3 linked regions of the Drosophila melanogaster genome follow. The protein of the gene in region 1 purifies or fractionates together with the protein of each later gene. This does not show direct contact. Each region holds a gene or a part of one and is shown in the gene's direction. Other genes may lie near its edges. The genes, in order: CG6180, Dhrs4 and CG7924.

Evidence for each region.
Region 2: the proteins of CG6180 (region 1) and Dhrs4 purify together in Drosophila melanogaster (affinity purification with mass spectrometry, with the first as the bait; one large-scale study listed by BioGRID). This does not show direct contact.
Region 3: the proteins of CG6180 (region 1) and CG7924 purify together in Drosophila melanogaster (affinity purification with mass spectrometry, with the first as the bait; one large-scale study listed by BioGRID). This does not show direct contact.

What each region holds. Positions count from the first base shown.
Region 1 is NT_033779.5:12,705,901-12,711,073, forward strand, and holds CG6180 (uncharacterized protein), read left to right. Parts: upstream 1-1,760; 5' UTR 1,761-1,870; coding exon 1,871-2,644; 3' UTR 2,645-2,780; downstream 2,781-5,173. Other genes in the region: spict (spichthyin), read left to right, coding at 1-547; CG15484 (uncharacterized protein), read right to left, coding at 1,009-1,629; CG5787 (uncharacterized protein), read right to left, coding at 3,353-3,409, 3,475-4,325, 4,462-5,173.
Region 2 is NT_037436.4:5,139,940-5,145,067, reverse strand, and holds Dhrs4 (Dehydrogenase/reductase 4), read left to right. Parts: upstream 1-3,421; 5' UTR 3,422-3,517; coding exon 3,518-3,762; intron 3,763-3,825; coding exon 3,826-4,228; intron 4,229-4,290; coding exon 4,291-4,596; 3' UTR 4,597-4,628; downstream 4,629-5,128. Other genes in the region: Fitm (Fat storage inducing transmembrane protein), read left to right, coding at 1-672; Gdap1, read right to left, coding at 1,012-1,505, 1,571-1,744, 1,803-1,995, 2,641-2,763; CHMP2B (charged multivesicular body protein 2b), read right to left, coding at 4,685-5,128.
Region 3 is NT_037436.4:14,230,007-14,235,160, forward strand, and holds CG7924 (uncharacterized protein), read left to right. Parts: upstream 1-3,462; 5' UTR 3,463-3,480; coding exon 3,481-3,511; intron 3,512-3,573; coding exon 3,574-4,508; 3' UTR 4,509-4,603; downstream 4,604-5,154. Other genes in the region: nuf (nuclear fallout), read left to right, coding at 170-304, 650-1,106, 1,171-1,319, 1,591-1,629, 1,921-2,049.

The sequences.
Region 1 (5,173 bases):
TGCACCACGGCATGGGCACACCAATGTGGTAGTTTATATCTTCTTGTGCTCCGGCATCGGATCTCTGACTGTGATGTCCTGCAAGGCATTGGGCCTAGCCATACGGCAGACGCTGAATAACGGAGGCAACGTCTTCCTCACATGGATGCCATGGTTCCTGATCCTGGTCACCGTCACTTTCATAGCCATCCAGATGAACTATCTGAACAAGGCGCTGGATATATTCAATACTAGTATAGTTACTCCAGTGTACTATGTAATGTTCACCACCCTGGTGATAGCTGCGTCTGCCATCCTCTTCAAGGAGTTCACCCACATGCGGTTCGATGATATTCTCGGCGATGTGTGCGGCTTCCTGATCGTTATCACAGCTGTGTTCCTGCTCAACGCGTTCAGAGATATTGATATATCGCTGAACGATGTACGTGGACTGATGCGACCGAAAATGCAGCGGGTGTCGCAGTTCGACGAGGAGGTGCTGGTCACCAGCAATACCAAGGAACGGCGGCTGTCCTACGGATCCAGCGACATCTTCCGGAAGGCCTGACACAAGCAGCGCTACCAGGTCTAGTTACATCCCTTGCAGCGGCTGACCTGAAGACAAGGTTGCTTTACTCCGTAAACGAGGCATTGGTCCAAATATCTGTGCATATCACCTGCAATCACTTTCATCTCATCATTTCCATTTATTGTTCCTTCACTCTTGTTATTCATACATTCGCTAGCATAAGCACATAGGTTTAGGTTACACTTACATATATTAAACACGACTTAATGAAAACGATTTGTAATTGTAGTTTTATTTTTTGATTTTTGATATGATATTCGTATCTATGTATTACTAAAAAAAAACCATTAAAATATTCTACTACATTGGTAAATGTAGGTCGTTCCAAATCGAACGACAATATTCATTGCAAATAATGTGAGTACATGCTCAATCGGATTTAGTAAAATAAATCTTCAAGTTATTTTCAAGGTTTGTTAGTTAGTAATTTAATGAAGTATCTATGTATTCTGAATTTCGCCCTTGCTGGTCTTATCTGGATATTTTAATCCGTTCAGCCAGATGCAGTTGCTCAGACTTTTAGCGGTGTGAAATGAGTCATCGGCTGAGTTATCCGGACTGTTCTCCACTGGCGGAAGATCCTTTGGTCTACGAATCTTTCGTGGCGTGAAGAAGTCGCGATCTGTGATTAAAGGAAATCGCTGGCTTTCATTTGGAGCAACCGCAGGTAAGCTGATCTGCGGCTGGAGTGTCAGTGAGTCCTGTTTCAGGGTCATTCTTCCGAAGTTCCGGATGATGGCAATCGCCTCCACGTCCACCATTGTGGTGTCCTCCCAGTCCTCCATTGTGGCGTGCTCTCCCAGCGGCTTGGTGCCAGCTACTCTCTGAATCGTCTCCATCATTTGCAGACTTTGACGAATCTCTCGGCCCTTTCCACCCCGCGTGCCATATCCAAGCAGATCCTCGCGGGCTGTCAAAAGCTCATAGGTATGAATGGGAACGGATTCTGAGAATTCCTCTTTCTTCCTCAGTTCATAGGCGATCTGTCCATGGACCAGATTAAAGTGCGGCTCCAACTGCACCAGATCGTGCTCGAATCGTGATGTGGGAACCCAAGCCATGATGATTTCAGTTGCTTATAGTATTCTCACAGCCTTATTTTCATTTCCCGGAAATGCTTTTCTCAAGTAGACTGCGCAAATATTTTCGAAGATTAGAAATTCAAAATCACACATTCCTATCGATAGCGATAAAAACGTTTAAACGCTTACAGGTGAATCGCAACTTATCGATTGTCAGTCGGCAAATAGAACAATAAACAGTTTTTTAATTAATCCAATTTGGTTTACTTAAGCAATAAGGATGATTTGTATGCGGCTCCGGGTGTTGCGTAATCTCAATCGCAGCGCTTTAAATGGATTTAGAAAAGATTACATCCGATCAACCGGTGTGAATGTCAATTATTCAGCTGTCAACTTTCCGGCCGCCATTAGAACGCTGAAAACTTTTAGCAATTCTATCCTAACCAAGGAACCGAAACCAATCTTTGCATTTATCGCATCTCAGCGGCAGTATTCTTGCGAAAAAGTAGGCAAAACAATGGAGGAGCACTGCGTAGTTCCGGATGTGATCGCCAAGGCACCGGCGCAGACAGCTGTGGTGGAATATCCCGGCGATATTGTCGTGAAGCCGGGTCAGGTCCTGACCCCCACCCAGGTGAAGGATGAGCCGTGCGTGAAATGGGAGGCGGACGCCAATAAGCTGTACACCCTCTGCATGACCGATCCGGATGCGCCCAGTCGCAAGGATCCCAAGTTTAGGGAGTGGCACCATTGGCTGGTGGGCAACATACCCGGTGGAGATGTCGCCAAGGGCGAGGTTCTCTCCGCCTACGTGGGATCCGGGCCTCCACCAGACACCGGACTCCATCGTTACGTTTTCCTGATCTACGAGCAGCGGTGCAAGCTCACATTCGACGAGAAGCGACTGCCCAATAACAGCGGAGATGGACGCGGTGGCTTCAAAATCGCCGAGTTCGCCAAGAAGTACGCCCTCGGCAATCCCATTGCCGGTAACCTCTACCAGGCTGAGTACGACGACTATGTGCCCATCCTCTACAAGCAGCTGGGCGCTTAGTTTCTACGCCAAAAACCATGCTTATATAAGCCAGTCTGAATTGGATTCAAATCTATTGTAACCTAGAAATTAAAGACACCTATGAACACTCTGTGAAACCCTCTGTTGCTGGCAATAAAATTGTTAAAGACATATTAACTAAGCCACTGTATCTTATTACACATTTTCAATATTTTCATATCTTATCTTGTTAATTTGTCTGAAGTAATAATTCGGTTACCCTTTGCTGAGGCAAAACAGTTTCTGTGCTGGTTATGTATTTATTATTCATTCCAATTACAATCTACTTCTTTATCAATAGGATTCTTCTAGCGTCATTTGTATACATACAGATTTCATGAACTTGAGTTTATATCTCGCCAAAATACATGCTTTGAAGATACAAGACATAATTGCTATCGGACCTTCCAAATAGGAAGAACGTTTCTGATCAGTATTATAGTTATTTCCCAGGGCGCAAGAGACGCCCATCTGGGTAAGTTATTTATTTGTAAAAGCATTGCGACATAATTACAATCTACTTCTTAAAGTCAAGAGGATGGTTCTTCATGTGTGCAATAATAAAGGTCTCTAATACAACTAGATGCAGACTCATACAATCCATAAAATAATGCTGAAGAAGAACCCACGCTCTATTTCCTCCTTTGATGGGTCCAGTGCATATTCGGCTGTTGAGAAGGAGGGGAGGTGTCTAGTTTCCAAATTACTTTACTCTATAGAGGGAAAGACAGTGCGATGGTCTTTCCATTCGGTTTCGCTGATTGCCTATAAAAAGCAAGGTCGGAGTTAGTTAGTATGAAATAGGCTGCATGACTATGTTACCAACTTACCACTAGCTCGTCGAAAGCCTGTTTGGCCAGCCAGTGGAAGCATGGACTCTTCCATTCGCGCGCAATCGCCTGCTGATCCTTGACGTCGTCCTCGGCGGTGGACTTGGAATTGGTAATGGCCTTGTACTTGGCCCACAGGAAGACCATGCTGCGCAACTTGTAAACCCACAGGTCATTGGGTATGCCGCGAATAATGTCCTGTATTTCCACCATGTTCAACTCCGTAAGGTTATCCAGGAAGGTGCGGTTCATCAACGTAAAGATCGTCTTCATTGTGTCGTACGGCACGTCGGCATTCTTCTCGAGACCAAAGTGTGCCGACTTTATGATAGCGTAAACCACCTGCTCTGTGGTTAGCTTGGGCAGATTGGGTAGGAAGCAATGCTCTAGATTCAAGTTCCCACACTCCAACAGTTGCTGGTCGATCTCCTCGCCAACATTCTTGTAGTCCTTCCACCAGTTGCCCCAATCATTATATTTCTTCGATTCGTTAAGCGGTGCCCAATCGGACCGTATGCGTTTCCTGTTGCGCTTTGCAATCTTGCGAGCCGACTTGGCGTCGTCGGCCACCGATTCGTCTTCCGAATCTTCGTTGAGCACTACGGCCGCCTCTACGAAGTCCTCCTCGGTGGCGTCCTGGTTTGTACTGTAATTGAAGGTTTGTTCGAAGAAGGTCAAGGCATATGAGTCCGCCTCCGGCTGTGGGAGCTTCTTCGGCTGATCGTTGAGATAGGGAATCTTGAATCCGCCAATAAGGAAACCGCGCTTGCGTGCCACGCGTCGCCATTTCTTGACCGACTTGGAGGCAGCCTCCGTTTCCAGCGGTGGAGGTGGGGCAACACGCTTCTGACCTGCAATGCATAACATATTAGGAACTTGTGTATGGTAAAACTATTCCTAGTTGCTTTGCAAAACTCTACTAAATGAATTGGAATAGTTAGAAGAAAGTTTTGTAATGCAACCTTACGAAATAGAACTGAATCTTACTAATTTGGACGGGGAATCCAGGAGCGTTTGGCGGCCTACTGGGCACTCCTGCTGGTTTGCCTCCTTGTGGTCCACCTTTCACTGCCTGCTGGCCAGTTCTAGGTGCCAGTGGTCCCGACTTCTGCAGCTGTGGTCCAGTTTTCAAGCCCTGTTGTCCAGTTCTCAAGCCCTGTGGTCCAGATCTCAATCCCTGTGGTCCAGCTCTTAATCCCTGTGGTCCAGTTCTTAATCCCTGTGGTCCTGTCCTGTTTGCCTGCGGTCCGGTCTTCACGGCTGGTGCGGCCACCGGTGGCTTCTTGTTGGTAACCGAGACCGTTTTCGAATTGGGTGTTACGTTATTGACTTTATACTGATTTGGTGCTGCAACGGGCAGCTTTTTCTGTACTCCAGTCGCATTGCCCGGACGCAGGTTGGCGGTCTTGTTGTTGCGCAGAGTGGGCGCACCTGCGCTTTTGACGATTTCAGCCTTCTGAGGATTGTTGCGCAAGTTCTGGACCGCCTTAGCGGCTGGCTGTGGAGCTGGCTTTCGAACAGATCCGCTGTTGTTCAGATTCATCTTCTGCAGCTGATTGCGCTTCGAGTTGAAGGCGCGCTGACCAGCTTCCCATCCAGAGCCACCGGAACCTACTCCTCCTCCGCCGCCGGCACCGCCTCCTCCACCACCGCCGCTTCTTCCTCCACCTCCGCCACCACCACCACTGTTCGATTGATA
Region 2 (5,128 bases), on another chromosome or scaffold:
GCCTTCATCCTGATCCACTCCAGCCTGGTGCTGATCGAGGAGGCGCGTCCCATCATCCGCTGGGAGACCATCAAGGAGCACATCCGCAACGAGCGACACAATCGCAGCACAGCCGAGAACTCGGGCACGAATCCGCTGAGAACGCTGAACGAGGAGCAAATGCGCAGCCTGCAGTTCTTGTACAAACGCCTGACGCCGATCATTCGCACCCTATTCATCGGCATGGCGGCCCTGCAGCTGCTGTGGGACATCATGTTGGTGGGCACCATGCTGTACTATCACCGCATGATCGAGAAGGTGATCAGCGGCATTATTGCCATACTCACCTGGTACTTCACCTATCGCTTCTGGTATCCCACGCCCGGTCTGCTGCCTGAGGCGCCTGGCAACGGAAGCTTCAGCTATCAGCGAGAGATACCCACCTTCCCCTTCAAGCGACCCTCGCATTTATCCACGGGTGCGGCCACCACGAGCTCGGGATCCAACAGTTCGAGGACCAACCTCAATGGCAAGGCGGCAACGACGGGAGTGCCAAGGGATCAGCAGATACCCACGTTTATGGGAATGCCGCTGTTCACCAGCCCCAAGGCGGCCAGTGCAGCCGCCAATTTGCTGATGTCCGATCAGCAGAAACGGGAAAGGGATCGCGAGCAGCAGACGCTGGAGAGCTGAGAGCTGAACCCTGGTCAAGTCAACAGAGGGGAGAGCAGCCATCAAGCATAGAAGGAATTGATAGTTAGGTGACGGATTGGAATTTATACCAAATTTTTGTATATTCAGCAACGATGATATGAAACGATGATGATATTACTAAGCAAGCAGCCGAGGCTGGCACTGGATCGCGCGCTCTTCTCCTCATCCTCCTCCACCGCCGGATTCTTACCATGACACCCCAAGCATCCTTCATCAGCAGTGCGTAGCTTTAAGCGTTCTTATGTTCGTGTGTTTATATGTGCCCAACTTTAACAGTAAAAGGATTTGTTAACAAAGTCTGCTGTCCCGCTGCTCCGCTCACTTGTGCGCGAAGGCGGCGAACATGGCCATACCCAGGAAGCCGGCGCCCGCTCCTAGCTTATAGTTGCCCGGCGTTCGGGTCCACATTTCGCGCAGTATGGCAAAGTTGCTCGGCTGCAGGCGGTGGAAGGACTCGCGCTGCCGGAAGCGCAAGAAGTATGCCTCCACCTGCGGCAGCTTTCCGAAGGTCCAGAACTGATTCTCGAATCCCAGCTGATACAGTCGATGCAGCAGCAATCCCAGCGAGATATCCGCCACGCTCAGTTCGTCGCCGGTCAGCCACTCAACGCGTGGCGCCTGGGCGGTTAGCTCCTGCTCCACATAGAGCAGAAAGTGCCGCACGGCATCCAGAACCTTCTGGAATTCCTCGCGGGACGAGGCCAGCTCGTGGCGGCGCAACTGTATGTCCAGCTTGTGCTGCAGCGCTGCTTTTTTGGTCGCCTGTTCGTCCACCGAGTGGCGCAGCAGATCCAGCACCTTTTCATTGTTTTCTGCGGGGCGTACGAGTGTTGACTGTTGAGTTATGTTGTTGAGTTCACAGGTGCGAGTAACTTACTCAGGCAGGACTGGCGCACGGGTCCGATGAAGGGCGCCTTGGGCACCAGCTTCAGATCGTCGTGTATGAAGGAGCCCAGGCTGAGTGTTCCCACTGGAAGGCGGGCCATTGCCTGCTCGAAGATCAGCATTTGATCGAATTCCTTGGAGTTGTGCGCTGGCTTCAGCGATCGATCTAAATGATGAAGTTGATAAGTCAAGTTACTATGGGCGGGTAGCTAACTGGGAATTACCACCGCGAAATTTGCTCTCCACATAGTTGATGATGTGCGTCGAGCTGGGAATGACGAGGGCGCCATCCTGGAGCACTGGCACATCGCCCTTGGGATTGAGGTTTAGGAACCAATTGGAGTACTGCTCGCCATTGCACAGGTCCACCACATAGGGAAAGAAGTCGATCTTCTTCTCGTAGAAGACCATAAGAACCTGCGATGATAAGTGGGTTCACTTTAACTGAGCTATGATATTAGCAGATTTATAACTCAGATATTAAGTATATATGTGCATTTGCTTAAATGTATCTAAAGACGAACCCAAAGATGCAATATTCCGCTACTAATTACTCGCTTCATTAACCAAAACAGATATTTTTAGACACGATCTGGCATTAAATTAAATCATTTCGGTTTAGTTATTATATTACGTTCTTTTGGAGCAGATTCCTCCACACATAAGTTTGTTTATTTTGTTTTTTCACTCCGCTTCAATCCACTTCATTAGCACCTGGAGCAGCCAGCAGGTAAATATGCTGTCATATCTGTACAGAATGGAAAACTAGAGAACTCCAATAGCGCTAGCCCTACTACATTTCCGGCCCGCCACCCGCTAGGTCATGCTCCATTGCATCCGAGTGGCCGAGAGATTTAATAAAGATCTTGGGTGGAGAACCTTCGACGCGGGCCACCCCATTATTACATCGAAAAAAACAAAAGAAATACGAGAAAAAAAGTAAATAAAACGATGATTTCATTTGGAAATGATTAGTTTTGTAATTTCGCGGCATTAGCGGCTGGATCTGTTGGGCAAATACCTTTTCAATGATCACATGATTGAAAGCAAGCGGTTACTAACTTTTTGCGCATGGAAGTTGTACGGATGGAAGAAGAGCACTGGCTTATTGGCCGGCAGATCGGGAGCCTTGAAGTCCTGCAAGGTGGGCGGCAGAGCTTCGATTTCCTTTGTCTGCTCGCTCATCTTGTTCTATGTGTGTTTCACTTAATATTCTTTGGCTTAGTGTATCTTTAGTTTGCTGATTAGTTTCACTAGCATGGGCGCCTTTTTTCGTATCACATGCCCCGCCGACGGTTGCGAAAAGTTGCTAACTAACAAAGCCGTAAGCGCGTGCCGGATTGACTTGGAAAACCGGAGACTCCACTTGCGTGCTGATTCCGCCGACGACTGCGTCTATAATGAAGTCAGATCGTACGGATCGCTGCGATCCCCTATTAATTTGCACTTTCGGCTCGTATGTACATATATATAGTACATATATATGTTTCGGATCCGAAAACAGTCCATTATGTCAAGCGATTCTCCAACTTTTTGCGGTTTGTTTGTCATGCGTATTTATCTTTGTTTATATTATTACGAAACGCAGCGTTTATCTTGCTGTGGGAAGATTTTCTTTTCAAGAATTCTTATCTGCCCATGACTGAGTGGCCCTAAGTGGAGTATTACAACATATTGACTAGGGATAAATGATATTTTTAGCCCTAATTTTAGTTATTATGTAGGTTAATCTGGTTTTTATTACTAAGCCACTGCAGAGATAACTTTAATAAATTTTCAAATTTCGCGCCACCGGCGAATGAGCTTTTTCATTCACTGTGAATGGCAAACCGCTGAAAAGAAGAACTAGTAAACAGTTTGGAGATTCGTAGTTAAAATAGGGAAAATCAATTATTAGGCAACGAATCTCAAGATCCTTCGCAAAAGTCCTACTTCAAAAATGTTGCATCTGAGCAAACAACTGGTGGTCAGGGCGCCCAAGATCCGTCTGAATGCCAGCGCTGTGAGTGGAAGTGGTCAAAGTTCAAGTTTCGATCAAAACAGCAACAATTACAGCCGAAAACTTGTTGGCCCTAATCTCAATCAATGCCACAAACGCTTGTCCAGCAGTAGTCAAAGTTCGACAGCCGGCACGATGAAGCGTTTGGCAGGAAAAGTAGCCGTGGTCACCGCCTCCACCGATGGGTAAGCAGCTCAATAGAAACTGGAGAGGATCGCACCCACTAAATTCTGATTAATCCCTCCCAGCATTGGTTTCGCGATTGCCAAAAGGCTGGCCGAAGATGGCGCCGCAGTGGTCATCAGCAGTCGCAAGCAAAAGAATGTGGACTCTGCTCTGGCGGAGCTGCGCAAACTGAACTTGAATGTCCACGGTCTGAAGTGCCATGTCAGCGAACCCGAGGATCGCAAACAGCTCTTTGAGGAGACCATTAGCAAGTTTGGCAAGCTCAACATTCTGGTCAGCAATGCAGCCACCAATCCTGCGGTCGGCGGTGTCCTCGAGTGCGATGAGAAGGTGTGGGACAAGATCTTCGATGTGAACGTGAAGAGTTCCTATCTGCTGGCCAAGGAGGCACTGCCTCTCCTGCGCCAGCAAAAGAACTCCAGCATCGTTTTCGTCTCCTCCATTGCTGGCTATGATGCCTTTGAGGTTAGTCGCCTTATCTGCGGTTCAGTTGTTCAATGCTTATCTCCGTTATCTTAATCGCATAGCTACTGGGAGCCTATTCCGTCAGCAAGACCGCGCTGATTGGCTTGACCAAGGCAGCCGCCAAGGATCTGGCGCCCGAGGGCATTCGCGTCAACTGCCTGGCTCCAGGAGTCATCAGGACAAAGTTCTCGAAAGCACTGTACGAGAATGAGTCGGCGAATGAAGCGGCTTTGAGCAAAATACCCATGGGTCGTCTGGGCACCAGTGAGGAGATGGCTGGCGTGGTCTCCTTTTTGGTCTCCGAGGATGCGGGCTACATTACCGGAGAGTCCATTGTGGCTGGCGGTGGAATGACAGCTCGTTTGTAAGCGGTGTACATAAATATAATTTCTTACGGGCTATGGATAACAGCGATGTTCACAGTAGTTACAAAATAGAATGAAAAACAGGTAAGGACTAAGAGGAGCGCAGCTTGGCCAGTTGATCGGCAATGTCCTTCTCGGTGCGCTTGCCACTCGTCTCAAAGTCTGAGGATCCCGTGGCCGGGATGCTGGACATCTTGCCGGAGATCTCGATGCCGATCTCGTCGAGCACCTTGTTGACTACGGCATTGGACTCCTCCTCGTCGCCGGACTCATTCAGCATGTCGTCCAGCGTGTCGTTGATCATCTCGTCGGTCATTTCCATCTTCATGTTGGCCGCCTGGAACTGGCGCACTGTTTCCCCGATGGCCTCCGGTCGCATCACCTTATTCATTTCACCCATCGTCTTGGCCGTGGTGCCCATGGCTTCGCTTAGGGCGATATTGGCGCCCATGTTCTTGTTCTGGTAGCCAATGGACTGAATCTTGCCCGCTGCTGCGTATGTGCGTGATTTCTGCTTCCTGATCTCCACCAGCTG
Region 3 (5,154 bases), on another chromosome or scaffold:
TATATATATATATAGGCAAATGTATGTGAAATATCCCATGGCTGAGGTGCAGTTGGTGAACGATCTTCTCCTCGATCTGCGGCACATGAAAAAAGATTGTGTTAGTCGATGCACGAACCTTTGTATTGGAATATAGACTTATCAGTTCTCTTTTTCTATATATTTACAGCTGGAACTGCTGCAGCGCAAGGTGGACGATCTGTCAGATACACAGAATATAGCTGAGGATCGGACAACCCGCACCAAGACCGAATATGCAGTCCTTCAGGCGCGTTATCACATGCTCGAAGAGCAGTACCGAGAGGTTTGTATTTAATAATTCATTCGAGTTTTATTTATTTAAGTATTAAATATATACTTGTTTAATTATAAAAAAATAGTTAATGGTAGATAGGAAGTACGCTATATGAAAGAGGTCAAGAAAAACAAAACAAACTTCTTCGACAAATAATAATTTTGTTTTTGTGTATTCAGTTTGTAGAGTTTGTGAGTGAGTTTTTAGAAAGATAGTAATTAAATTTATCAAATTTAAAGCAACTAAATTACTTTGCTCAGAAAAATATATTTATGTAATGTCATCAGATTGATTAATCCCAATAACAATCAATTTATGAGATTATGAGATTTAATCATAACTCTTTTCTTGCAGTCGGAACTGCGTGCCGAGGAGCGTTTGGCAGAGGAGCAGAAGCGGCACCGCGAGATTTTGGCCCGCGTGGAGCGTGAAGCCTCGCTGCAGAACGAGAACTGCCAGATGAAGATCCGTGCCACCGAGATCGAGGCAACGGCACTGCGGGAAGAAGCCGCCCGACTGCGTGTCCTGTGTGACAAGCAGGCCAATGACCTCCATCGCACCGAGGAACAGTTGGAGCTGGCGCGCGACCAAATCGGCGTCCTGCAACAGGAGCACGAGGAGCAGGCACAGGCACTGCGCCGCCACGAACAGGAGAAGAAGTCCACCGAGGAGCTGATGCTGGAGCTGGGCCGGGAACTGCAGCGTGCTCGCGAGGAGAGTGGAGCCCGGGCAATGCCGACCACATCGCCGGAGAGCATAAGACTGGAGGAGCTGCATCAGGAGCTCGAGGAGATGCGCCAGAAGAACCGAAGTATGTAAACATATTATATTTGAGGGCTTACAACTAAACAATATGCACATTTTTTCTTTACTAGCCCTCGAAGAACAGAACGAGGAGCTGCAGGCCACGATGCTGACCAACCAGGCCACCATGCTGACAAATGGCGTGGAGCAGGGTCGCCATCTGCTGAACGGAACACTCAACAGTTTGGCTCAGGAGCTCGAGGAGATGTCACAAGCCCAGGTCTGTATTTGAGTCCATCTGTTACGTCGCTTGCTTCCGCTTTTAGTGTAGTCCAATCCATCATTCCCACACCCACAAAAACACAGTCTAGATGCCAAGTCCAAAAGCACACGCACAGTCACTGCAAAAGAAAACTGATTAAAATGCTATTTTGGAACCTACAGTTTTAAAGTGTCCTACTAGTGTCCGTACTGCCCTGCGCTTATTTTAAAAACCATTTATCTTATCTTAGCCCACATGTGTATTTAAATTGACATTTATTGTATTACAGGATTCTGTGGATTCAGCCACATTAGCATCCTTAAGTCAGGTAATGCTTCAATCACGCAAAAGCCGCAAACAAAAAGAACAAATAATAAAACACGGTTTTGGAGCCACTGTGCACGCAATGCAGTTTGACCTAAACAAAATTTGACTTAAAACTAATATTGGTTATTGGTTTTTTTTTATTCGATCAAACTTATTACGGACAATTTATCACCTGGCTAACTATATAACATTCATTTGTGTATATATAAACATTTCAAATTCTTTTCTTATCCATGTTTTGTGTGTTGCCTTAATATTTTTCGAAATACTAATAATAATGTATGTTTTGCAGCTACAACAGGCCTTCCAGGAAAAGGAGGATGAAAATGTTCGGCTTAAGCACTATATTGATACCATTCTACTCAACATCGTGGAGAACTATCCTCAATTGCTGGAAGTCAAGCCCATGGAGCGAAAGTAGTGCAGTCTACTGGAAGAATAAACCAACCCTAGGCACTCGGCAGAGTGTCACAACCACCTAACATTACCTAAAATTAATAAACTAACTAAACCATACTCTATGTTAACTTTTTAAGCTACACTCTATACATGTATTTATGCCTAACTTAAGTCATAATTTATTTTATAACAATTTAATGTAGATTTTTAAACCAAAACAACGCAGAGAACACAAAGATTGCATGTCAAAATGATAAAAAAGTCCTTAATTTGATTAGATTATGTTTTGTATAAAGAGAGTCCAAAATTATGTAAAAGTTTATTTTCCTTCGTTTCTAGTTTGCGTTTTGTATAGTTCGTGTTGTTGATCCATAAAGATATTACTTATAAATATTGTTAGATTTTAAGTCGTAAAAAATCTTTCACTTATTAATGAAATGGAACCCAATAATTTATTGATAATTGCCAGAAAATCTAATTGTGAATGTGTATAGCATAAAGAGATTTTATGAACTGTTGATGCTTGACAGGAAATATTTCCAATTTCGTCATGGCAGCTAAGAAGGTTTTTGCTAGGACAAGTGCTCCATTTTTCAAATCTTTCCATCACATGCATACTTCTTAAATCTTTCTATCCATATTTTGCACTCTCCGAAAAGATCTTCCCTAGTTTGCCTGTAATGTAGTTACAAAAATCTATCAAAAAATTTGCGTTTATGGTATGGACAATCCCAGGATACAAAGACGGAGTTTTAGTTTGATGTGAGTCTAAATGAGAGCAATTATCACGAGGAGTTTATCAATTCAGAAGTTATATCTTAATCCACACACATATGTCAATGTATAGCACAGATAAAACTAATCTTACTCTGCATATAAAACAACATTAAATGGACATAATGTGCAAACGTTTAGGGATGACACATGATAGCTCCAACGAAAGCGATCCCTAATAGTCTTAGCAACTGAATAACTCAAGCGGTCAACCCTAATTTAGCTATAATAATATCCAAGAAAACTCGATAATCGATGTGTAATCGTTAATCAAAATTTTATTGCCTTAAACGGATGTTTTAAAAAATGTACTAAGGCTTAGATAACTCTAACAAAAAAGTCCATAAGGTTTAATGACATGCTGCGAAATATGGAATTTTAAATGTAATTTACTAGATGCAAGTCGCTGAACTTATATCAAAATAAAAAGAAGAATATTTTATAAACACAGGCCCGCCTTTTTTTTTTGGACTGGCCCTAAAATAAAAGCGATACTAATTGGCGAAACTCGTTTGAAGACAATGCACATAAATGTTTAATTTATTAAGGAAGCGTGACGCGAAGAACAGGTTTGCTTTCCAGGAAAGATTGCATAAGATCTTTTCGATTTGAACGCGTTATATAAGCCGGGTTCTGCAGCAGTGAAGGACAGAGAAGACATTGGAGTTAAAGTTACAGGATGTTTAAGCCACAATATCACTTGGCCGCAGGTGGGCAATTGAATATCATTTTCGATTGAAACAGAATTGAGTTTGACTTTTGTACTTTCCAGTGCTGCTGTGTTTCGTCTTCACCACAGCGCAGGTTGTGCCAAATGCAGAAATCGGTCGGATTACTATCCAAGTGCCGTTGCTGTCCAATGGAAAGCCCGTGATCCTGACCAACCAGGAACGGGAAGAGATCGCCACCGTGCAGGAGATCAAGCCGGGAAAGGTCCATGTTGTCCAGGAGGTAGTGGTGCCACCTACTGTGAAGTCTGATAATAAGGTGCGGGTGACAAGATCAGTTTCGGATTCTGGTATCCCTAACCATGGAATCCCAAATCCTGGCATCCCTAACCATGGAATACCGAATCGTGGAATTCCTAATGATGGAATCCCAAATCCTGGCATTCCTAATCATGGAATTCCAAATCCTGGAATCCCTAATCATGGAATTCCAAACCGTGGCATTCCTAATGATGGAATCCCGAATCCTGGCATTCCCAATCACGGTATTCCCAACCCTGGAATCCCTAATCATGGAATTCCAAACCGCGGCATTCCTAATGATGGAATCCCTAACCCTGGCATCCCCAACCATGGAATCCCCAATCCTGGCATACCCAATCCCGATGCTTCCGAACTTAAACCAGTTGTTGTAATGCCCAGCAGTCGTACCACCAGCGCACCCGCATCTACATCAATGCCCAAGCGAGTACCCACCAGAAATTGTTTCCATCTTCTGATGGGTGGCACGACCACTACGTCGCCAGTGGATATGATGACACCACCATCTATGGAAAACTGCGATGAGCTATGCACCAAGTTCGAGTACTCGCCCATTTGTGCCCACAATGGAATCTGCATCCATGAGTTTGCAAATCAGTGCGTAATGAACACCTTCAACTGCAAACACCGCGATTTGTCGTTCCGTGCAGTGGATGAGGATGTGTGCCGACTGGGAGTTTGCATGAGGCGATGCAAGGAGGAGGAACTGGCGCTATAAAATGGCGATTACTCTTAGTCATAGTGTTATATCAATACAATATAATTTGTGTAAAAACATAAAAAAAAACATTTAATTAAATGCATACATAACATAGAAAAGAGTAATTTTTTCTTCTAAAATTTGTAAGTCAAGTAAACTTTGCTTGATCTAGAAACTGATTTTAAACTTTGGTAGAAGTATTCTTGCAATTTTTAATAAAGCCTAACAAATTAAAAATTAATAATGTTTCAACAAGAAAGGAATCTTGAAGTAATTAATAAGCGCTGATTTTTTTAACACCTGTATAAGAACGTAATTTTTCTAATATCATTTAATTACTTTTTTATAAAACGTGTTTACGAAAGGTTCAAGTGTATATGATTAATGAAAATTTTAAGTTGTTTTTTAATTTTAATTAATTTTAATTATTTCCTTTTTGTAATTTGGGGCGTATGAGTTAAACAAACTCTCAAACTGCCAGATGCCTATATTTGGGAAAACTGACTGACGGTCCTTTAGTGTACTATGTACTATCTATGTAATTCAAATCGTCCTTGGTTCTGCTCTATGTTCTGTTGATATAAAGTGGCGTCTTAAACTGACTATTTGCCTTCGAAATGAATGGGTTGCCAGGATAAAGCAATTGCTATTGAAAAAAAATATA